3 linked regions of the Diceros bicornis minor genome follow. The main gene of each other region encodes a partner of the protein of the gene in region 2 in a complex. Links are inferred from orthologs where the notes say so. Each region holds a gene or a part of one and is shown on either strand. Other genes may lie near its edges.

Region 1 (7,571 bases), on a different chromosome or scaffold from region 2:
AAGAAAACAGATACATTTCTAAACATTTATTATATCTTTTTTTGATGGAAACAGACAAGACAGTTCCTTGACAAAACTGTCCCAGGAGAACAAAACAAATGCTTTTCCAAATTAGAGCACAAGTCTTCTTTAAATGTCAGTATGAGATAACTAAGTTATAGTAGCAGTCTTTTAAACTTCATAAAAGCTATTGTTAAGATGGTGGTTTCGGCCGTTTTGCAGATGGTCCATCTGAGTTAGTTCTGTTATCAATGTTATTTTCATCTTCCACATCATCTTCATCATCACCTTTTAAAATAAATATTTGTTGTATGACAATATGTTCAGTGCTTGAAAGAAATATAGATAGCTAAAATGGTTGATAATGAGACCATTTCACTTTAGGGGTTAATAAAACCATGCATATATCAGATCTGAAATATGTATGGTTAAAAAGATTTCAGGGGGGCCGGCCCGGTGGCGCAAGCGGTTAGGTGCGCGCGCTCCGCTGCGGCGGCCCGGGGTTCGCTGGTTCGGATCCCGGGCGCGCACCGACGCACTGCTTGGCAAGCCATGCTGTGGCGGCGTCCCATATAAAGTGGAGGAAGATGGGCACAGATGTTAGCCCAGGGCCGTCTTCCTCAGCAAAAAAAGAGGAGGATTGGCGGATGTTAGCACAGGGCTGATCTCCTCACAAAAAAAAAAAAAAAAAAAAAAGATTTCAGGAATTTTGGTGTTTAAAACCTTTCTTTTCTATCACTGTTTTTGGAGATATAATTCATATACCATAAAATTCACTCTTTTAAAGTATAAGGTTTATTGATTTAGTATATTCACTAGGTTGAGCAACTGATCATCACTAATTTCTAGAACACTTGCATCATCCCAGAAAGAAATCCCACACCCTTTAGCAGCCACTTCCTATTCCTCTCAGCCCTTGGCAACCACTAATCTACTTTCTATCTCTACAGATTTGTCTATTCTGGTCATTTTATATAAACGAATCATAAAATATGCGGGCTTTTGTGTCTGCCTTCTTTCACTTAGCATGTTTTCAAGGTTCATTCACATTGTAGCAGTTATCAGTACTTCATTGGTTTTTGCTGCTGAATAACATTCCATTGTATCAACATGCATTTTGTTTATCCACTTATCAGCTGGCGGACACTTGTGTTGTTTCTACTTTTTAGCTATTATGAATAATGCTGCTATGAACATTCATGCATACGTTTTTATGTGAACGTATGTTTCCAGTTCCCTTGAACTAGGAACGGAATTGCAGGGTCATACAGTAACTTCATGTTTAACTTTTTGAGGAACTGCCAAACTGTTTTCCAAAGAAGGTACATTTTACATTTCCACCAGCAATGTATGAGAGCTCCAATTTCTTCACATCCTAGCAACACTTATTGTTCTTTTTGATTATAGCCATCCTAGTGGGCATGAAGTGGTATCTTATCGTGGTTTTGATTTTCGTTTCCCTGATAGCCAATGACGTTGAGCATCCTTTCATGTGCTTATTGGCCACTTGTATATCTTATTTGGAGAACTGCCTATTCAAATCCTCTGTACATTTGGTAGATGGATTATTTGTCTTTTTAGTGTTGGGTTCTGTCACTTTTCTTTAGTAAGTCTTATAATTTTAAAACTTGGTATATTCATATAAGTTAAAATTCGTCATTTTAATCTCTGTCACTTTTAACAATGGAAATCCAAACCTAAGCTTTATGGGGACTTGTTTAAAGATACAAAAACATGTCCATCTATACAAAGACATTACACCATTAACAGAACAGGTGGCAGTTATTTCTGCAGTAAGTAATGACAAAATTTTTTTTTAAATGGCTCTAACTATATTCATTCTCATGCCAATGGTAATATTTTCAACAGATTAGGAGAGGTATTTTGGAAGCAAGAAACAGGATTTCACTCTCATGGAAACAACCTATTGTCTGAACTTGGTGTAATGTTCTGAATTGGCTCCTTCAAATTATCTGAAACTATCAAGATGAAAACAAGATGGAAAGAAAAAAAGTACAGTACAGTTTAAGCTCCTCTACAAAAAAGCTAAGTCCTGACTCCAATATTCAGTTTTTAGGTTCTTCAGCTCAGGGCAATCAAATGTCCCTATTTTTGTATTTAAGATGAGACTTAAAAAAAAAATTAATGCAGCTAAATTTCCCGCTTTGACTTTCAAACTTCACAAACAAAACTGAGAAAGGGAAGGAGTCCCTGCGAGTTCAGACTTGCTCAACTGAAATCTGTTCCAATCTTCGGAACCTGCTCCTATTCTGCGATAGATGGCAGCCTTCCAAACATGTTTGTAATTTCACACCTGGGAAAACTCCCTGTCATCCTTCAATAGCCAGCTTAAAAGTCACGCCCTCTCTGAAGCCTTCCGGGGTTCCCTGGGTTTGCAACAGTTACAGAAGGCCCTGGGGTCACACTCGCCCTTTTTACCCAGAGTGTCTACCTGTCTAACCGCTCACCAGAGTGAGAGTTTCGCAGGTAAAGGAACCGAGTCGCCTTCACCTCATTCTTTCTCCAGGGCTCAGCCCCATGCCTGACACCTAGCAGGAGGCGTGCAGCACGTTTTTTGTGATATAAATGAAGAATCGCGAAAACGCTTGGGTAAGAAGCAGCCCAGATTAATCAGCCCAAATACAGCGGAAAGTGCCAACGTCTTTTAGGAAAAACTTCTTCCCCTGAGGCTCACTTTCTCCAAGTCTGCCACTCTCCACGGGCGCCCCTGCCCCGCCCTCCTGTCGCTCCACACCGTCTCAGAGCTCACCGTCCAAGGCCTCGTCCGGTGCCACCGCCTCCCTGTCCTGCGCTTCCCGCTGTACCAGGGGGCCGAAGAGCTCGGCCACCAGCTCCCTCATCTGGGCCACTCCCGACAACAGGCTCTGGAAAGGGTCGGCGTCGCCGGGCGCCTCACAGGGCACCCGCAGCTGCCGCTGCTGCCCGTCCTGCCCAACATACTCGCCCAACAGCTCCATGGCGACCGCTGAGTTTCCAGAGCGCGTCACAAGGATGCGCCACCCGGAAGCGGAAGCCAGCCTACGGCGGGCGCGGGCGGGAGAAGGGAGGGGAGTAACTTCCGTTCATCGGAAGTCGCTCCTCCCCCTTCCTTCACCTCCTTTCTTTGGGATTGGTTCCTGGGACTCAGGCCCCGCCTCCTCCGGCCACGCCCCCTCGAGGCCGCTTTTCCCGCCTCCGCAGGGACAGAGCGGCGGTCCTGGTGACAGTTGAGCATGGCTGGAGCGGAGGGGCATGCTGGGCGGCAGTCGGAGCTGGAGCCCGTGGTATCGTTGGTCGACGTGCTTGAGGAGGACGAGGAGCTAGAGAACGAGGCGTGCGCCGTGCTGGGCGGCAGCGACTCCGAGAAGTGCTCCTACTCGCAGGTGGGCGCGCGGCCCGGGCGTGGTCTCCCCCGGGCTCCGCTGAGCCTCCTTTTCCCGACCGGACTTGCCCTGTTCCCGCCTGCCGCGGCCCGGCTCCCCCGTGCTGGTGCGGGGCCGCCGTTCTTCGTAGGCTCCCCCATGCCAGGCCCAGCTGCCCTTTTACCCTCAGCCCCTGGGCCCCCTTTCTCAGCCCCTGTCCAGCAGAAGCCCCCTCGTCCATCGGTCTGCCTCCGTCCGGCCCCTCAGGATTCCCGAGGCTCTGGCCCTGGAGCAGCTGCTCTGTCCTTCCTCTCCCGTTTCTTCTCGGCGCCCGGCTGCTTTTTACGAAACCATCCCCGTGACCTCTCACAATTCAGACATCTTTGTCCCTACTTTTCCGATCCTAAGAGTATTTATTGGGAACCGAATGGGAGAGTGAAAGCAGAGTTAAAGGAGAAAGGTCTGGATTTGAAAATCTCCCTGTGTGGGCTGGGCTCCTTGACAGCTAGTTCCTCTGCAATTTAGTTTGACAAGTGCTAGCTGGTAGCTTTTTGGCGAGACGAAGCAAGTACTGTGTCTGGCTGCCGTCTGCCCCCCATGGGGATGGACCTGAACCAGGACAGCAGGTGGCACTGGCAAAAGAGGAGAGGGGAAGAGGGAAGGAGCTACTTGAAGAGGAAATTTGGCACTTGGAAGATGTGAACAAGGATTTGAGGGGGTGTGATGTAGTGTTTGGTGACTCATCCGATATTTCTAGGTACAAAAATGGAGAAAGGTGGGTAGAAGAAAACTAACAAGGGATGAGAATTGGTAGGAGGAAGAATGTTACTTTCCAGGGGGGTGGAGTGGAACATTGGGGGATGAGGAGAGAGACTTGGGGTCATTATGTGATGTGGACTGAGATCATAATACCAGTTGTCACCATTGGCCAGTCAAGCTTACACTGCCAAATGGTTAGATTTTTGAAAGCACCTGGTATCTAGAGATAGTCCCAGGTGTTGGCTGGTATTTTAAAACGTTTGGTCACCACCAAAACAACTTTTTCTCTGCTTTCCTTTTTTAAAAAAAGCCTGTACATGAGCTATTTTTGAAATGTAGTTAGCTTTGTAAAACAGACTTCCTTAACGTTTTCGTTTTTTATTGTAGGAAAATGTATGGAAAATTACACAGAACATGTGTAGGGCTTGAAAAACAAACACACATATGCAGTTACCTACCACCCAGATCAAGAAATAGAACATTACTGGCATTCCAGAAGCTTCCTTGTGTCTCCCTTCTTCCTAGAGGAGGGTAACCATTGTCAAGATTTCTAAAAGTTTTGCCTGTTTTTCCTTCAGCTTTTTATTTTGAAACATTTTAAATCTACAGATAAGTTGAAACACCTTTGTACCTCTTACACATATTCACTTTTTAACATTTTACCACATTTGTTTAATCTTTCTCTTCTTCGTAATATACTATTTCCTGCTGAACCATTTGAAAATAAGTTGCAGATATCATGACACTACACTTCTAAATACTTCAGCATGCATCTCCTAAATATCAAAGGGATTCTTTTTTTTTGTGTGAGGAAGATTAGCCCTGAGCTAACATCTGATGCCAATCCTCCTCTTTTTGCTAAGGAAGATTGGCCCTGTGCTAACATCCGTGCCCATCTTCCTCTATTTTATATGGGATGCCGCTACAGCATGGCTTGACAAGCGGCACCTCGGTGCGCACCCAGAATCTGAACCAGCAAACCCTGGGCCGTCGAAGCAGAGCACTAGAACTTAACTGCTACACCCTCAGGCCAGCCCCTCAAAGGGATTCTTTTAATGCATTGATTTTCTCTTTGGTGGAATCACAGCATTTTCCGAAATTAAAGTGTGGTGTTCCTTACATAAACCTACACACATTCTCCTACATTTTCATGTGTTACAGTCACTAAACAGACCTGCTTATTCATAGCTGACTGAGAATATTAAACTTCCTATCACTTTAAGAAAAAATTGTATGAAAACAAGCACTAATGTAGTAAATATATAGTGATCTGAAACATGCAACAATGTTTTGGTACTCTCTCGTGTAAGCTTTCTTATTAGTCTTAGTGGTTTTTACAGGAAGATCTTGACCACACATAATCTGATTTCAGTTACTTCTCAGATCACATTATGGGTATTAGGTAACCATGCCATATTTAATTAATTTATTCTCTCTCTTTTTCCATTTTGGGGCTGTCTTTTAGGGCTCAGTAAAGAGACAAGCACTGTATGCCTGTAGTACTTGCACTCCAGAGGGAGAAGAACCGGCAGGAATTTGCCTAGCTTGCAGTTATGAATGCCATGGAAGTCATAAACTATTTGAACTATACACAAAAAGGTAAAGACAATTAGAGATTGGTGCTGAATGCTTTTTAAATGTTTAGATTCTTTCCAAGCTGCATTTTTTTCTTAATCTTGCTTTTCCATTCAAAGTAATTGTGCACGGGTAAAATTTAATGTAATTGTCTTATATAGTATAATTGGACAGAAGAGTTTTTCCAGAGGGCTTTTTAAAATACAATTATGGAACAAACTGAAACTACTCATCCTTCTATGCCATTATTTTACTCGTGTAAGTTACAGATATTTGTCTTTATGCATGTTAATTTCAAGAATTATTAAATCTTTTATCGTTATGTGCTTGGAGAAATTCCAAATTGGATACATGAACAGCAACCAAGGCCACTTTTTAGATCCCAAAAATGAGTTGAAAGGGAAGAGACTATGATATGAACTTAAAGAGTAGGTCATTAGATTTAAAAGAAAAATTAAAATTGGCTCTTCCTCCTTTGTTTCAGAAATTTTCGTTGTGATTGTGGAAACAGCAAGTTTAAAAATTTGGAATGCAAATTATTTCCTGTAAGTAAGCACTGTAACTATAGATGCATTGAAAGTAGCTGAGATTGATATTTGCCAGAGTGGGTAAAAATCAAATATTTTCCACAAAGGAAGTTCTTATGCTTATTCTTGGCAAATGGGCAAATCAATATTAGACTGTATTCCAGTTTTTATCCTGTTGGAAAGCTAAGTAACCTGTTCAGAGCCTACAGTATAGATTGTAATTAATATGAAAGGTTTGGGCGAATGTTCTTTGAAGTGATTCAGGTTTAGTTATGTTGATTGTACTCATGCTCTAGGACTTTTAAAGCAGAGGGTATGACTAAAAATTGAATAAATATGGGGCCGGCCCCGTGGCTTAGCGGTTAAGTGTGTGCGCTCCGCTACTGGCGGCCCGGGTTCGGATCCCAGGTGCACACCGACGCACATCTTGTCCGGCCATGCTGGGGCAGCATCCCACATACAGCAGTTAGAAGGATGTGCAACTGTGACATACAACTGTCTACTGGGGCTTTGGGGAGAAAAAGGGAAAAAAAGGAGGAGGATTGGCAACAGATGTTAGCTCAGGGCCGGTCTTCCTCAGCAAAAAGAGGAGGATTGGCATGGATGTTAGCTCAGGGCTGATCTTCCTCACAAAAAAAAAAAAACTGAATAAATAATTTGATAATAATGAATATGGGCTAGTTGCACACAGGAGTTTTTACTGCTTTTTGGCTAATAAAAACTATGCTTATATGATAAGTTTTAGTGAAATAACAGAAATGAAAGAGAAAGTAAGGGATTTTGCATTGTTCGATCATAATTGCCAAAACTGTCATGCTTTTCCCCTCCTTTGAAACTTATTTTTAGGCAATTTTCTTGCCCGCTTTTTACCTCCTGGTAACCTGGGAGCTTTGGCTTTCACAGCTGGGCATTAAGAAGCGCTTTCAAATTCTAGGCCAACATCAGTTTACATAGGTTGATAATTAATTAATACTTATAGTTAACTTGTGTCACCATTTTATTAAATGGGTGTATTCGGTTTCCCCCAATTGCTACAAAGAAGTTACAAAAAATAAATTTTATTTTTGCCCTGTATCCTGGAAAAAGTATCCCTTTAATAGGCGTGAATTTTTTGTACTTTGAAAGTTAAAGACCAGCTCCTGGGGGGAAGATATTTAATGCAGAAATTTACTGAATGCATAAATTTCATGATGCCTGAAATTATAGTTAAAATCAGAACATATTATATATTGAAATTAATATCTTACAGGACAAAGCAAAGACAAATTCTGGCAATAAGTACAATGACAACTTTTTTGGATTGTACTGCATTTGCAAGAGACCTTATCCTGATCCTGAAGATGAGGTA
Region 2 (7,871 bases):
CCTTTAGGAGAACGGAGAGTCTCGGGGACTGGGAGAATTATCCTAAAGTAAAAGAGGAATTAGAGACCTGAAGTTTAAACAGTGCTCTTCTTCAATGATTCTCTGGGGTACGGTTGGGGGGCAGAGCCTTAAATGCACAGAGAAGTAGATGAACTCAGAGAGGCAGGGAGTAGGGGATGTGAAGGAAGGATAGCGTGGGGATCCTTAGGATTAAGAATATTTTGAACATAGTCTTTTTCTCCTGTACAGCAAAAGAATCATCAATCTTGGGCCTGTGCATCCAGGGCCTCTGAGTCCAGAACCACAACCCGTGGGTGTCAGGGTCATCTGTGGACATTGCAAGAATACTTTTCTGGTGAGGAGAGATATTGGGAAGCCCTGGAAAAAAGAAAAACAAGAGTAATCATGAATATATTTCTGAATGATGATAATGAATCCTGAAAAGGTCTGTTCTATGAGGACCTATTTCTCACCCTCTCCCTGCCCTAGGGCTCTTATTGAAGATGACTTCTACTATTAAAGCTTCTACTATTAATTGCTTTCTCCCTTTTTCTTTCTCCATAGTGGACAGAGTTCACAGATCGAACCTTGGCCCGTTGCCCTCACTGCAGGAAAGTGTAAGTGATTAAAGAGTGGCATCGTTGGGCTGGTAATGGGGTAATGTGTAGAGTGAAAACTACAGGGTCATTACAAGCGTCTATTTCTGTTTGGCTCCCCACAGGTCATCTATTGGGCGCAGATATCCACGAAAGAGATGTATCTGCTGCTTCTTGCTTGGCTTACTCTTGGCAATCACTGCCACTGGCCTTGCTGTGAGTAACCTTGATCAGACCCTTCATTCTTCAGCCTCATCTCCACAGGCTAAGATTTGGGAAATGGCTACTCCCCAAAAAAGTGAAACTGAGGGCTGGGTTGTTTTGTCTTGTTTTAATGTGCAGATGAGCTGAAGTTGAACTAACTGATAAACAGTCCTCGCTGTTACTAAAGGAGTAAAAACCAGCCATCTTTTTTATGCAGAGGATAGGACAACAGAGAAATGGCTTAAATTAAAGAGTTGGTATTAGGAAACCTAAGATATTGAGAAAATCTGACAGTTGTCTAGGATTGTATGAGTTATGTTCCTGCCTAGGAGGAGGGAGCTGAACAACTGGGCCTTTAAAAAGGTCCCTGAAGGTGCCTACATGTGGACAGGGAACAGGAACTGAAGCTTGAGTTCTGTGTTACTGTTACCGGGGCTCCTAGAAAGTGGTGAGAGATCAGCAGTAACCCCATCTTTCTTTTTCTTCTTCACCTTCATCAGTTTGGCACATGGAAGCATGCACGGCGATATGGAGGCATCTATGCAGCCTGGGCATTTGTCATCCTGTTGGCTGTGCTGTGTTTGGGCCGGGCCCTCTATTGGGCCTGTATGAAGGTCAGCCACCCTGTCCAGAACTTCTCCTGAGCCCCATGACGACCCACAGACTGTGCCTGGCCCCTCCCTGGTGGGGACAGTGACACTACAGAGGGAGCCGTGGTAAAAGGCTCCCCAGGGCTTCTGTAAGAGGAGCCGAGCAGCTGCCTTCCTTTTCCCTGGGGAGAGGTAGGAAGGAACCAGGCCCTCACCTAGGTTTGGAAGGGTAGATAAGACCACTGCTGGCCATCTGCTTTCCCCCAGGGGTTGCTGTTGAGAGTGAAGTAGGTGAAATGTTGCCCTTAAACCTGGGCCCTAAAAGACGGTTCTAGCCTCGTTCTTCCTATGTGCTCCCCAAGAGCCATTCCTGTCCCTTACACATTCCAGGGCAGGGTCGGGGTGGGTAGCCCTGGGGGTTTCCCTCCCTCTTGTGCACTCTTAGGACCTTGCTGCTGCTATTGCACTTCACCAGGGGCTGGCTCTGGCCTCAGTACCCTCAGTCTCCTCTCCCCCCATTCTGTGTCCTGTGGGGGTGGGGTCAGCTGCTGCTCTGTACAGAACCACAGGAACTGATGTGTATATAACTATTTAATGTGGGGTATGTTCCCCTAGTCCTGTGTTTTCCTTCATTCCTCCTAACCTTACCTCTCAGTTGCAGTATTTAACTGGGCTGGGTAGGGTTCTTCTCTGTTGGGGGAAGTTAGGGACTCATCCTGTGCTTGTAAATAAATAAGGTTATGACTGTCCTTTTCCAGTTGTTAATCTATACGTATGAAAAGATGAGGAGGGGAATTTGTAGCCCTACAAAGGGGTAGAATACAAAGACAGCAAGGCTGAAACTATGGCTCTTTATTTTCACATGGACAGGTCAAGGAAGTCATCAGTAGCTTTTGTTTAATGTAAAAAAAAAAAAACCCGTCAAAAACAAAACCAAACCTCTGGCTTAAAGAAAACCTAAGTCTGTCACTAGGAGCCTGGTTGAAGGATTCATATTTTCACAAAGAAAATACAGTGCAGATTTCTCTAGAGAGCAGTTTTTAAAGAAGTTTGGGAGCGGGGGTAAGAAGTTTTAAAGCTAGTTTGGGGGGCTTATTTCCCAGGCTCAAAGTGATTTGGGGGAGGTGTCACAGTGCTAGGTATAGGGTGATGGGACAGTGGTCACTGCCCAGGGCCTTGGAACGGATCTTGCTGTCACACAATGCAGGTAACAGAGAGTGAGACAACAAAAAATAATCAAGGCGCCAACCAACATTTTTGGAGCGTGCATTCATCATATAGGTCCAAAAGGTGTAGGCATAGGCCGTGTCAGGGTAGAGATGCCGGAAACTGTCAGCCAGTGGCACAGCCTGCAGCAATTCCCCAAAGCCCTGACGCTCTTGTGGCGTGAAGCCAGCATTCTTTTTGTTTCCCTTGGGGTTACGAAGGTCAATTTCTTCATGAGCCACATTGAGATCCCCACATAGCACAAGGGGCTTGCGGGAAGCCAGGCCCTTCAGGAACTTGCGAAAGGCTTCGTCCCAGCGCTGCCGGTACTCCAAGCGCACCAGACCCCGGCCTGCATTAGGTACATAGGCTGTTACCAGCACAAATGCATCAAATTCAGCCACAATCACTCGGCCTTCCTGATCATGTTCCTCCTCACCTACAGAAATGATGAAACAATCAGAATAAAGAGGTATAAAAGGGAAAACAGAGAATAAAGGAATCAAGAATTGGGGCTCAGTCGGGTATTAGCAATTGGTTTGAAAGAGCTCAGGCGTTAGGAATCAATAGGGTCTCACCAATGCCATAGGAGACTTTGAGTGGGCACTGGCGGGAAAGCAGGCCCACACCACTGTACCCTTCCTTGTCTGAAGGAGCTGACCAGTACTGATGGGATAGTCCAGACAGCTCTTGAAGTTCAGCTGGTAGTTTGTTCTCTGAACATTTGGTCTCTTGGAGGCACAGGATATCTGGGGCTTCTTCCTTTACCCACTGAGTGAAATGACAGGTAGAAAAAGTATCATCAATTCAGCAGACATTTATTGAAGAAGTTATGTTCTAAGTACTAGAGATACACAAGTGAGACAGTCCTTGTGGAAAAGGAGTGTAACAGTCTAGGCACAATATTTAAATAATTTAAACAATGATAAATTATGTAACTGCCACTGATGGAGGGAGGTAGGGAGAGTGGTACAGGCAACACTGAGATGTGGTTTTCTACAGGCAATGGATAGCCAGCTGAGATTTTTAAGCAGTAATTTAAATGGAGGATATGCTGGAGATAAAATGGAGCAAGTCCAGTAACAAGGTTTTTGCAACATGCTGGGGAAGAGATGAGGACATCAAAACAATGCTAAGGGAATTGAAGGAATGGACCTTTAGGAAATACAACTGGTATGAGTTGGTGAAGGCCCTCCTTGTGCCTCTCCCCCAAGAAAACTACCAATAAGGGAAAAATAAAACCTACATGCTTGGGACTAAAATGAGAAAAGGCAATTAAACCCGTAGATCATTCAATACTAAAGGCTGTCTCTTCCCCTCCTTGAATTGCACTCACATCTAAACCTTTCTTCTTAATCCAGGCTCGAAGCCCATCCACATTCCAGGAGCAGATCTTGAGTGTGGCTGATTTGCCACTGGGTGAGGTTTTGTGATCTGGGGGGTCCTCATACAGGACTGGTCCCTCTCCCGCTGCCTCTTTTTCGTTTTTCTTTGCTCCTGCCTTACTCTTCTTGGCCTCTGGCTCTATAAATGAGTAATACATAGTGATAAAACTTGGCGGTATTTAATTTTGATCCAGAGTTAACTACAGACCCACAGCCTGCAGTTGCCGCGCCTTTTTCAGAAACTCGGCAAAAATATATTTAGTCTGGCCTACTTCCGTTCATCGGAGCAATTAGAAACACCCCATCGCAGCCTCTAGGGAGACGGGCTCATTTCATTCTCTTACCAGTCTTGGGCCCTTCTCCGTCTTCTGCCACCGCTCCCTTTTTCCCACGCTTCGGCATCACTGTAACAAACGCCCTTCGGCACCCGTTCCGCGTCGCCCACCGAATCAGTATTTTTACCGCGTTGCCTACAGACGCAAAGAAATCATGAAACCAGCTGAGGCTGAGGAAAAAACTCCTCCCTCGGGCGCCCTCGCACTAGGTCCCGCCTTTGAAACCATATTATCTCAGAATCCTTTCCCCGCCTCCGCGCACTATAGGCCCTTCAGCCCCTCACCCACAAGACTAGATCATTCTATACTGCCTTGTACCCTCCTCGCGAGATCTGCCCTCCGGCCAATCCAGGGCCTTAATTAAGGGTGCCGATTTAGGCTGGCCGATCAGACGTCCAGAGAAGCCCCTGTGATGGGCAAAGAACAGCAACCCCGGATCTGACCTCCCCGAGTCCCAGCCTGGCTCCTCCTCACCCGAGCACAAAGAATGCAGCACGTTGTGGCCCCACGTGGGTAACTGGCGTGGTCACGTGTTCTGAGGTATGTATTAGGTGGCGGAGGAATGCTGGTGATTGGTTTGTCTGGCACCACATGACGGGGCAGCTCGGCCTTCCCGCCCTTCGCCCTGTCTCCCGGAATCGGAAGGACCTAACCCTCCATCCTCGGGCTGTTTATCGGTGTGCCAGATGCCCGACTCATTCTGCCACCTTGGCCGAAGACCCCAACACTGTGCAAGAGGGAGAAAATCAGTGGAGAAGCCTGGGCTGAACCGCGGGAGAGAGGCAGAAGAACGGATGGGAACGTACGGAGGAGATGCCGGCTCAGCGTCTCTGGCAGTTAGGAGGACAGGTCCTTGAAGGGGCCTTGACGGGTCGCCGTGACACGGGGGCGGGGCCGGCGCGGGCGCGCCACCCGCAGGAGTACTTTAGTGTCTGTCTGTGCGCGCCGCTACCTAGCGGCGGCTTGCTCGTGGTCTTTCTTTGCGCTCCGGAATCAGCGACCTTGCAGGGCCTGGTGAGGGCTCCGCGGATCCTTTGGCAGCTAGGAGCCCTGCCGGCATTTTCTCTCAAGCTTGGCCATGCCTACGGTGCTGGGTTTTGAAGGCAGCGCCAACAAGATTGGCGTGGGAGTGGTGCGGGATGGCACGGTGCTGGCGAACCCGCGGCGGACCTACGTCACGCCTCCGGGCACAGGTGCGTGAGTAGTGGATTTGTAGTTTGCGGCGCGCTTCTCTGCACAGCATGACCTTCCTCCTCCTCAAACACTAGTGACATAGGGAGTGGAGCGCATTGTCCGCTTCGTAGAGTTTTGATCCGAGTCTCTGAGATTCTGACAGTATTAACGTCACAAGGCTGATAATAGAAGAGTCGCAGGCACTTGGACCTGGATCTTTTGGGTACATTCAGCTTTTATTGAGTGCCTTTTATGTGCTAATAATCAGCTGGCTGCTAGATACAAAAATAGGTGTTGTGAGCCTGCTATGGAATCCGACATATAAACAGAACTTTACAGTACGGTAAATAGTGTAATATAGATGCAATCAAAATATTCTAGAATGAGAAGAAGTTTAAAGACTCTCAGCTTAGGTGTCAGACAGAACTGGCTGGCTTTGCAGTATTCATGTTCAGTATTTGTTTTTGGACTTCTGTTCCTTACTCTTAAAATGGGAATAATAATAGTACCTGGGTCATTGGGTCTTGAGAATTAAATAAAAGTACCAGACACATTGCACTTGTAATAAATGTTATTTGTAAGTTATGATGTTACGTCTTGCCTATCCTCCTCCAAATTACCTGCATACATAGGGAAGGGTAATTGACTTGCATATACCTGAAAAGCCTCCGTGAACAGGCGATGTTGTGACAGGTTACTCATTAACAATACATGTGGGGCTGGCCTCGTGGCTTAGCGGTTAAGTGCACGTGCTCCGCTACTGGTGGCCCGGGGTTCAGATCCTGGGCGCACACCGACGCACCGCTTCTCCGGCCATGCTGAGGCCGTGTCCCACATACAGCAACTAGAGGGATGTGCAACTACAACATACAACTATCTACTGGGGCTTTGGGGGAGAAAAAAAGGAGGAGGATTGGCAATAGATGTTAGCTCAGAGCCGGTCTTCCTCAGCAAAAAGAGGAGGATTAGCACGGATGTTAGCTCAGGGCTGATCTTCCTCACAAAAAAGAATAAAATAAAATGAATAAAAAACAAAAGTAAAAAAAAAACAAAAACCAATACATGTGTATGTTTAGCACTCACTCGTCTAAGCATTTTGACACCAGGAATACAAAGATAAATAAAATAGCCAGTGCTTTGAGATGCTCATGGTTAAAACTTGGGAAACCACAGATAATTATAATGCTATAATAGTTATTTGTTAAATACAATGATGTGATCACGCACAAGGTTCTGTAGGCTTGCAGAGAAGATCTCCAAAGGCTATGAGATAGGTGTCACTTGAATTAAGTCCTGAGGGCTGAGTAGGAGTTGAGTATGAAGAAGGGCATTTCTGAGAGCTGTTCAGCATGGCTGAACAGGCTGGAAGAAGTAGATCTGAAAACCTGGAAGACAGGATGCATGAGGAGAGTGAAAGGGACTCTTCTTACACTACTAAAATGCCTGTTTTTTACTTCTACCTACCTTTGCTATAGAAAAGCCCTATGATCTCTGACCTGTGTCCATCTCCTAGGATTCCTTCCAGGTGATACTGCCAGGCACCACCGAGCCGTTATCCTGGACCTGCTGCAGGAGGCACTAACAGAGGCTGGATTAACCTCCCAGGATGTTGACTGCATTGCCTACACCAAAGGTATGGCTGGGAGCGTGGTCGCCAGTGGAAGAATATACAGGCATACCTCAGAGATATTGCAGGTTTGGTTCCAGACCACTACAATAAAGCTAATATCGCAATACAACAAGTCACACAAGTATTTTGGTTTCCCAGTACATATAAAAGTTATGCTTACACTGTACTGTAGCCTATTAAGTGTGCCATAGCATTATGTCTGAAGAAAACAATGTACGTACCTTAATTAAAAAACACTTTATTGCTAAAAATTGCTAACCATCATCTGAGCCTTCAGCAAGTCATAATCTTTTTGCTGGTGGAGAGTCTCGCCTCCATGTTGATGGCTGCTGACTGATGATGGTGGTGATTGATGATGGTTGGGGTGACTAGGGCAATTTCTCTTTTTAGGGGGGTTGGGGCTGGGGCCCAAGACAAGCCCTGGCCAGGTACTCACTGTGGTCACCCTGGTTCTGCCCCTTCTCTCTGAGGGGCAGTTTCTCAAAATAAGACCAACAATGAAGTTTGCTGCAGCAATTGACTCTTCCTTTCATGAATGGTTTCTCTGTGGCATGCCATGCTATTTTGATAGCATTTTACCCACAGTAGAACTTCTTTCAGAATTGGAGTCAGTCCTCTCAAACCCTGCTGCTACTTTATCAACTAAGTTTGTGTAATATTCTAAATCCTTTGTTGTCTTTTCAACAGTCATCACAGCATCTTCACCAGGAGTAGATTCCATCTCAAGAAACCACTTTCTTTACTCATCCATA
Region 3 (7,152 bases), on a different chromosome or scaffold from region 2:
CCACCCTTCATTTCCATTTCTATGCTTCACTCCCACGTCTGTGGCTTATCCAGGCCCTTCTCCTGAGCTCCAGGCCACATCTCCAGGGTGGGACTCCAAGACAGCTCTTGGCTCTCCTGCAAACACCTCACTCATTCCTTCAGCACACACTCACTGAGTGCCCGCCATGTCCCAAATGCTGGCAACACTGAGACTGAAAGACACAGTCCCTTCCCTCTTAGCACCCATGGCCAGTGCTGGGCAGCCCCTCAGCACCCACATTTTCTCCACGACCTGGCTCAATGAATGGCAATACCACTCAGCCAGGCTTTTAATGACAGGAAGTGGGAGGCCACCTTTGCCTCTCCCAACTCTCCCTTCTCCATAGGCAATCTGTCAACAATATTTTTAGAAGAGTCCAGAGCAGTTACTTTGTAGAATGTTCTAGAGTCTGGATTTGCCTGATTCCTTCCTTGTTAGATTCAGCTTAAGCACTTTGACAAGTTGCTTTCCTTCCCCCTCTCCCTCAACAGCATCAGCAGGCACTCGGGGTCAGGTGGTCCCACTGTGGGGGAGGCTCGGTTTGTTTTGATCACGTGGTCAAGGTGGTGGCTGCCAGGTCTCCCCATTGCAAAATTGCATGTTCTCTTCTTAATGCACAAGTAATCTGGGGTAATACCTTGAGACCCTGTCCATATCTTGTGCGCAACAATCCTTATCTAATGGTTTCACCAACCAAGGATGAGCCTGACCAGAAGGAATTGCATTGGGGGCTGCAAAACAGTGGTTTTCTGATCCTTTTTTTTCCCTGAGGAAGATTTGTCCTGAGCTAACATCTGTTGCCAATCTTCCTCTATTTTGTATGTGGATCGCTGCCACAGTATGGCTGCAGATGAGTGGTGTAGGTCCACGCCCAGGAACTGAACCTGGGCAGCTGAAACAGAGCATGCTGAATTTAACCTCTAGGCCAGGGGGCTGGCCCCTCTGATGCTTTCCTTCTTTCTACAATTGTTAATTGGCATTTCTCTATGAAGAGCTTTCCTTTTCCCCTGCTCTCTTTTCTCAATTATCATGGTGGATGCATCGTTTTTTTTTATTCAACAACTTAGAATCCAAGAGTGTCATTTTGGGGTCATTTTTATTGGTCTACAGCATTCATGCAGTACTGTGCATAAATCATATCACTGTACAGTGCAATGGACCTTTAAAGTGAACACCCTATGTATCTATCCTCTCCAGACTGAAATAGAGAATACCACCAGCACTCCAGCACCTTCCCTGGTGCCCCCTCCCAGTCATGCTCCTCTCCAAAATCGTTCATATTCTTTTAGATGCTCAAGTTGTTCTAGCTTTGCTTCTCTCGGGTTAGTTCCTGAGTCCCTTTGACATGCCTCATGCTTCTGTTGTTCAAGCACTTCCTGACTTTCTGGCACTACAAGGTGCTCCAGGCTCAGCTTGTGTATTTCTTACCCCAGCCCTAGAATCCACCATTACTTTTTTGTTTTTTTTTCCCCCCAAAGCCCCAGTAGATAGTTGTACGTCATAGTTGCACATCCTTCTAGTTGCTGTATGTGGGATGCAGCCTCAGCATGGCCGGAGAAGTGGTGTTTCAGTGCGCGCCCGGGATCCAAACCCAGGCCGTCAGCAGCGGAGCGCGCGCACTTAACTGCTAAGCCACGGGGCCGGCCCGAATCCACCATTTCTCCAGGGAGCTCTGGTCCTTTGAGTGGAGAACGATACTGAGAAACCAAGGTCTGAGTGCAGGGTGTGTTCATTGCTACTGGGGTGTCACTGCTTCTAGACTTTTTCACTGGCTCGAACTAGGAAATATATATATATATATATATATATATATTTTTTGTGTGTGTGTGTGTGTGTGTGTGTGTGTGAGGAAGATTAGCCCTGAGCTAACATCTGTTGCCAATCCTCCTCTTTTTGCTGAGGAAGATTGGCCCTGGGCTAATATCTGTGCCCATCTTCCTCTACTTTATATGTGGGACGCCTGCCACAGCATGGCTTGATAAGCAGTGCATAGGTCTGTGCTCTGGATCCGAACCTGTGGACCCTGGGCCGCCGAAGCAGAGCACGTGAACCTAACCACTATGCCACCAGACCAGTCCCAGAAATATATATTTTTATGAGTTCATACTGCGGGGCCGGCCCAGTGGCGCAAGTGGTTAAGTGCGTGTGCTCCCCTGTGGTGGTCCAGGGTTCACCGGTTCGGATCCTGGGCGTGCACCGACGCACCACTTGTCAAGCCATGCTGTGGCGGCGTCCCATATAAAGTGGAGGAAGATGGGCACGGATGTTAGCCCAGGGCAAGTCTTCCTCAGCAGAAAAAAAAAAAGAGGAGGATTGGCAGATGTTAGCACAGAGCTGATCTCCTCACACACACACAAAAAAGAGTTCATACTGCAATCCCTAATTCCAATCCAGCATCACAGTTCTTTCTCACCTTCCCCCATTCCACAGTGAGAATTCGGGTTCTCGACATCCATATATTTACTCTTTTGCTCTACCGGGTGGAGTCTATGTTAAAGCACACCCCAAAGAGCTCCACACTGACCTCATCACTACCATTGCCAACGACGAACATACTAAGAGGAAAGCCAATTCTTTTGGTTCTTAGAATACATCCCATGAAAGCAGTCCAGTCAGAGAGCTGAGTTGAAAGGCACCTAAATTGTTTTCTGTGTGGTTTTGTTATCAATTGGATATGCAGTTAGGCTCATTTGTTTTTGTTTTTATTCAATTTTAGCATTTGATTTTTTTCACTCTTTCAAATGTATTTTTGACCACATAAAATATTCACATGGTTCAAAGTCAAAAGTACACAAAAAGGTATATTCCAAGAAATCCCATACCCATCTGAACACCCTAGAGGTGACCATTTTCATTAGTTTTGCGTTTCTTCTTCCTATGTCTTTTCTTTTTTTCCAATAAGCATGTGTGTGTCCTTTGCACTCTGCTTTTTTCACATAACAATATATCCTGGAGATCATTTTATTTTTCATTAAAGATTTTCATTCTTTTTTACTGCTGCTTAGGACTATTGTATGAATGTAGCATAGTTTATTTCACCAGTTCCCTGCTGACAGACATGTACCTTGTGTCCAATAGTTTTCCATTACCAATTATGTTACAGTGAGTGGCTCTGTGAATGTGTTGTTTCATATTTGTGAAGTAACATCCTACATGCGGGATTGCTGGTTCCAAGGCAGTGCTCCAGTTTTGTACTTAGTTAATACTCTGTTTCATTCAACAAACAACAAAGCACCTACTGCATAAACTGCACTGAACACATACCAGTGATGATATATCAACAATACAGAAGAGAACAAAACGAAATTATAATTTCAGATTATTAGAAATGTTATGCAGCAAATTGAAATGGGCAAATATGAAGAAGCGTGCTGGGGGTAGTATGTCAGATTGGTGATCCAGAAGCCCTCTCAGAGGTGACATTGGAGCCAAGATCCTAATGACAAAAAGGAGCTAGCCATGGGAGAGTTTGGGGACATAGTCTTCCAAATAGCAGAGTAAGTGCAAAGGGCTGAGGGCAGGCCACCCTTGGTCAGTAGCAGAGAGAAGGCCCCAGAGGCTGCAGAGAATGAGAAAGCAGGCAGGTGGGGTCGGAGGAACTGGGAGCCAGGTCACACAGGGCTTTTATAAGCTATGACAGGGAGTTTGGATTTGATTCCAAGGGCAATGGGAAATCGTTTTAGGATTTTAAGCAGGGACATGATATGATGTGATTTATATTAAAAATTAAGAACCGATTCTGTTGTGTAGAGAACAGGCTGCAGAGGTGCAAGGGTAGAAGAAAACCAGTCAGGAAGCTGTTGAAGGAGTTCAGAGAGAGACGGTGGCTCCCACAGGGGACTAGCAACGGAAAGGGAGAGAAGTTGGCTGATTTAGCATCTATTTTGAGGAGAGAGCCAACGAGATTTGATGATATAGTTCAGATTCATGTCCTTCCTTTTGATTCCAAAGGAGGAAAATAGAAAAGCAACGACAATCACCACCAAAAATTTCATGTCACTTTAAAAACATATTTTTTATTAAAAATGTCATAAAAGATTACTGTCAAAAATTTTGAGGAGGGCCGGCCCCGTGGCTTAGCGTTTGAGTGCGTGTGCTCTGCTGCTGGCGGCCCAGGTTCGGGTCCCGGGCGTGCACTGACGCGCTGCTTCTCTGGCCATGCTGGGGCCACGTCCCACATGCAGCAACTAGAAGGATGTGCAGCTATGACACACAACTATCTACTGGGGCTTTGGGGGAAAAATAAATAAACAAATAAAAAAAATTTTTTAAAGTTTGGGGAAAACACAAAAAAGTTAACAACACAATCCCATCACATCCAGATAACAAGTGTTTACATTTTGCTGTATTGTTCTAGGATTTCTATGCATATAGACAGTAATTTCCCTAATTGGGATTTTAGTGATTTTAGTCTTGCATTCTGATGGTTCTCACTGCCACTACTTTATTTCAGGTCCCTATCATTTGTCTTCTTGCCTCCATGGGGGCCTCCCTGCTGGCAGGCTTGACCTCCACACGGCCCACTTAGTGATCTTTCTAAAAATAAAATCTGATGGGGTTGTTGCCCCCTTTAAATTCCCCTTTGGTTTCTCCACCTACATGGCCAATGGGGCGGGGTGCAGAGCAGTATCCCTCGGGGACTATCCAATTCCACCTCCCTCCACAAATCACTGCCAGGACATCGAGCCACATCTCTTGGGGGTATTGGCTCTGGGAAAGAGATAGGGCGGGAAACCGGCCACACATCTGGCGCCCTCACACGAGGTCTTGCGGGGCGGGGGGGGGGGGCGGGGGAGCGAGGTGGCGAGGCAGGACCGGTTGTGCAGGCGCGCTGGGGTCACATGTCGTTCTAAGGGGCAGAGCTTCATGAAGGAGCATTCATTGGCTAGGTAGCCAACGGGATGTCTCGGGGTGTGGCAGGCCTGGCTGGGCGGGAACCTGTCGTCCTTCCAAGGAATCAGAGGGTGTCTGTTTGCGCAGGCGCTGTGGGGATCCCCCGTGGCACTGGGCACTAAGGTGCGGAGCTTGGTGAGGGACTGCTCATTGGCTAGGTAGCCATGGGGTCTCCCGGGGCCCGCGGGCGGCAGGGCCTGCTGGGCAGGAACTGAGGCCTCACTAGGGGCCTGTTTGTGCAGGCGCCCTGGGGTCGAGTCATGCGCGAAGGAGTGGGGCTTCTGCAGGGAGCCTCAGTTTCTCAGCAGCCAACGGAGTCTCCGAGAGCCTCCAGGATGGTCGCTTTGGCGGGAATCCACCACGCGCCCGGCGGCCTCACTAGGGCCTGTTTGCGCAGGCGTGCGGGGCGGAGTCAGCGTGAGGGGGCGGAGCTTTGGGAAGGAGCCACAGTTCCTTAGGCTCCGGCAGAGAGGGCGGAGTCGAAGGCGGAGCGCGGCGGCCATGCAGGCAGCAGACGCAGGCGCAGGCGGTGCGGCGGGCGGTGCCGAGAGCCAGGACCGCGAGGGTGGCCACGGCCTCCACGGCGGTGCAGGCGCGGCGACCGCTGCAGCCGGGGGAGCTCCGCGTGTTACGCGAGCACAGCACGCCCCAGGGCCAGGTGGAGACGCCACATCCACAGCCAGAAGGCCAGAAAGCCGACTACACATATTGTATCCTACCGGAGGGGACAGCGGGGAATGGTCTGGGGGCTGCCTGCGGGCGGGGAATGACGTGCAGAGGGACAGATGGGTCGGTGGCAGCCTGGGGGCGGAAAGGGGAGCGGGGGGGAACCGGGGACGGCTGGGGCTGGGATTGGTATGGGGGGGAAAGAAATGAGAGTAAAGGGGAACGGGGTGGCTGGGGAGGACTAGGGCCACGGGTGGTCTGGAGGGGGTGGAAGCAGTCCTGGAAGGAGTGAGACTAGTCAGGGTGGTCTGAGAGGGGTCCCGAGGCACAGAGTCTTTATGGATGGTGCCTTAACCGAATCTCCAGCGTCCTCAGCGTGCCTTTCCCGTCCCCCTTGGAGGCGGAGATCGCCCATGGGTCCCTGACCCCAGATGCGGAACCCCACCGAGGGGCGGTTCGGAAGGAGCTCACAGTGATTGGCAGCGTCCTGGCGGTGTAAATTCTCGGGGCTGGGTAGGATTAGCAGCGGGTGTCCAGGCCACCTGGGGCGCTCTATTGGAGACACGGAGACACGGGTTAGGTCTAGAGAGGGGACATGGTCCGCTAGACCCGTCTCCGTCTGAGGGGGCGCTCTAATGCACATAGCAAAGGATTCGGTGTAATGGATGCCTGAGAGGCAGAGCGAGGAAGGGGAGGAGTTACCGCGTCCAAATTGATTTTCTTTTCCCCTCACTTTAGCCGCTGGAAAGCTGAAGATTCTCGCCTCCTCCGAATTTCCATCATCAACTTTCTTGACCAGCTTTCCCTGGTGATGCGGACCATGCAGTGCTTTGGGCCCCCTGTTTCCCGCTAAGCCTGGGCTGGGAAAGGGGGCTAAGGTCTAACCTCCTGTCCCTTCCAAGGCAGTGCATCTTTCCTAGGCGGAAGATTGCTGCAGTCGCTGCCACTTTATTATGGGGCCCTGATGTTTTGCTTTTACTGGCCTTTGGGCACTCAGGGTCCACTTGTTTCGTTTGGTGATTCAGTGTTCATTACAGCAGAAAATAAAACTGAGCAGCTATTCCGTGTCTGAGTTCCTTTTCAGCTACTGCACCTCCTAATATTCTTGTCTTTGTCCTCATGGTGCGGGGGCGGTTCTGGGATTCAGATAGTCCAGTAGGACAAGGCAATTGAAGACAATTTAGGAAATGGAAGAAGGTGGGTCTTGTCATTCAGTATTAACTACTGTCAACATTTTGGAATATTTTCTTACTTTTATACTTGTATTTCTATAGTAAATAATAATATATAATGCATGATATTTTGCAAGTTTAGGATTTTTCCTGATATTTTTCATCTAATATGAACTTTCACTCTTTCTAAAAATTCTTCAAAAGCATTATTGAATAAATGCATAAAAGATAAATTGTAATTATTGAACATTTAAATTATTATTTTTGTGTGTGTGAGGAAGATCAGCCCTGAGCTAACATCCACGCCAACCCTCCTCTTTTTGCTGAGGAAGACAGGCGCTAAGCTAACATCTATTGCCAATCCTCCTCCTTTTTTCCCCTTTTTCTCCCCAAAGCCCCA

The links. Proteins that work in one complex are often made in the same cells at the same time.
Region 1: OSGEP (region 2) and GON7 share a complex: the UniProt entries of both Homo sapiens proteins name them as parts of the EKC/KEOPS complex. The link is inferred for Diceros bicornis minor from reciprocal best matches to the Homo sapiens genes OSGEP and GON7.
Region 3: the proteins of OSGEP (region 2) and LAGE3 are in contact, whole or in part, in a crystal structure (PDB 6GWJ), measured with the Homo sapiens proteins. The link is inferred for Diceros bicornis minor from reciprocal best matches to the Homo sapiens genes OSGEP and LAGE3. Residues at the interface, in NP_060277.1 of Homo sapiens: Arg50, Ile53, Leu54, Asp55, Leu57, Gln58, Leu61, Gln69, Ala84, Val87, Ser88, Val91, Val92, Arg94, Thr95, Val96, Gln98, Leu99, Trp100, Asn101, Leu315, Ser318, Gly319, Val320; in NP_006005.2 of Homo sapiens: Glu76, Ile77, Gly80, Ser81, Leu82, Pro84, Asp85, Asp125, Gln126, Leu129, Val130, Arg132, Thr133, Met134, Arg136, Phe137, Gly138, Pro139, Pro140, Val141, Arg143.

What each region holds. Positions count from the first base shown.
Region 1 is NC_080763.1:38,867,799-38,875,369, forward strand, and holds the start of GON7 (EKC/KEOPS complex subunit GON7), read right to left. Parts: upstream 3,013-7,571; 5' UTR 2,979-3,012; coding exon 2,771-2,978; intron 289-2,770; coding exon 194-288; 3' UTR 1-193. Other genes in the region: putative E3 ubiquitin-protein ligase UBR7, read left to right, coding at 3,234-3,383, 5,587-5,720, 6,181-6,241, 7,473-7,568. UniProt on the Homo sapiens protein: Component of the EKC/KEOPS complex that is required for the formation of a threonylcarbamoyl group on adenosine at position 37 (t(6)A37) in tRNAs that read codons beginning with adenine.
Region 2 is NC_080744.1:28,852,564-28,860,434, forward strand, and holds the start of OSGEP (tRNA N6-adenosine threonylcarbamoyltransferase), read left to right. Parts: upstream 1-4,868; 5' UTR 4,869-5,394; coding exon 5,395-5,509; intron 5,510-7,002; coding exon 7,003-7,122; intron 7,123-7,871. Other genes in the region: PIP4P1 (type 1 phosphatidylinositol 4,5-bisphosphate 4-phosphatase), read left to right, coding at 250-355, 565-617, 722-812, 1,301-1,444; APEX1 (DNA-(apurinic or apyrimidinic site) endonuclease), read right to left, coding at 2,518-3,035, 3,175-3,367, 3,933-4,120, 4,326-4,383. UniProt on the Homo sapiens protein: Component of the EKC/KEOPS complex that is required for the formation of a threonylcarbamoyl group on adenosine at position 37 (t(6)A37) in tRNAs that read codons beginning with adenine.
Region 3 is NC_080781.1:138,416,836-138,423,987, reverse strand, and holds LAGE3 (EKC/KEOPS complex subunit LAGE3), read left to right. Parts: upstream 1-4,963; 5' UTR 4,964-5,037; intron 5,038-5,156; 5' UTR 5,157-5,415; coding exon 5,416-5,624; intron 5,625-5,946; coding exon 5,947-6,075; intron 6,076-6,318; coding exon 6,319-6,433; 3' UTR 6,434-6,640; downstream 6,641-7,152. UniProt on the Homo sapiens protein: Component of the EKC/KEOPS complex that is required for the formation of a threonylcarbamoyl group on adenosine at position 37 (t(6)A37) in tRNAs that read codons beginning with adenine.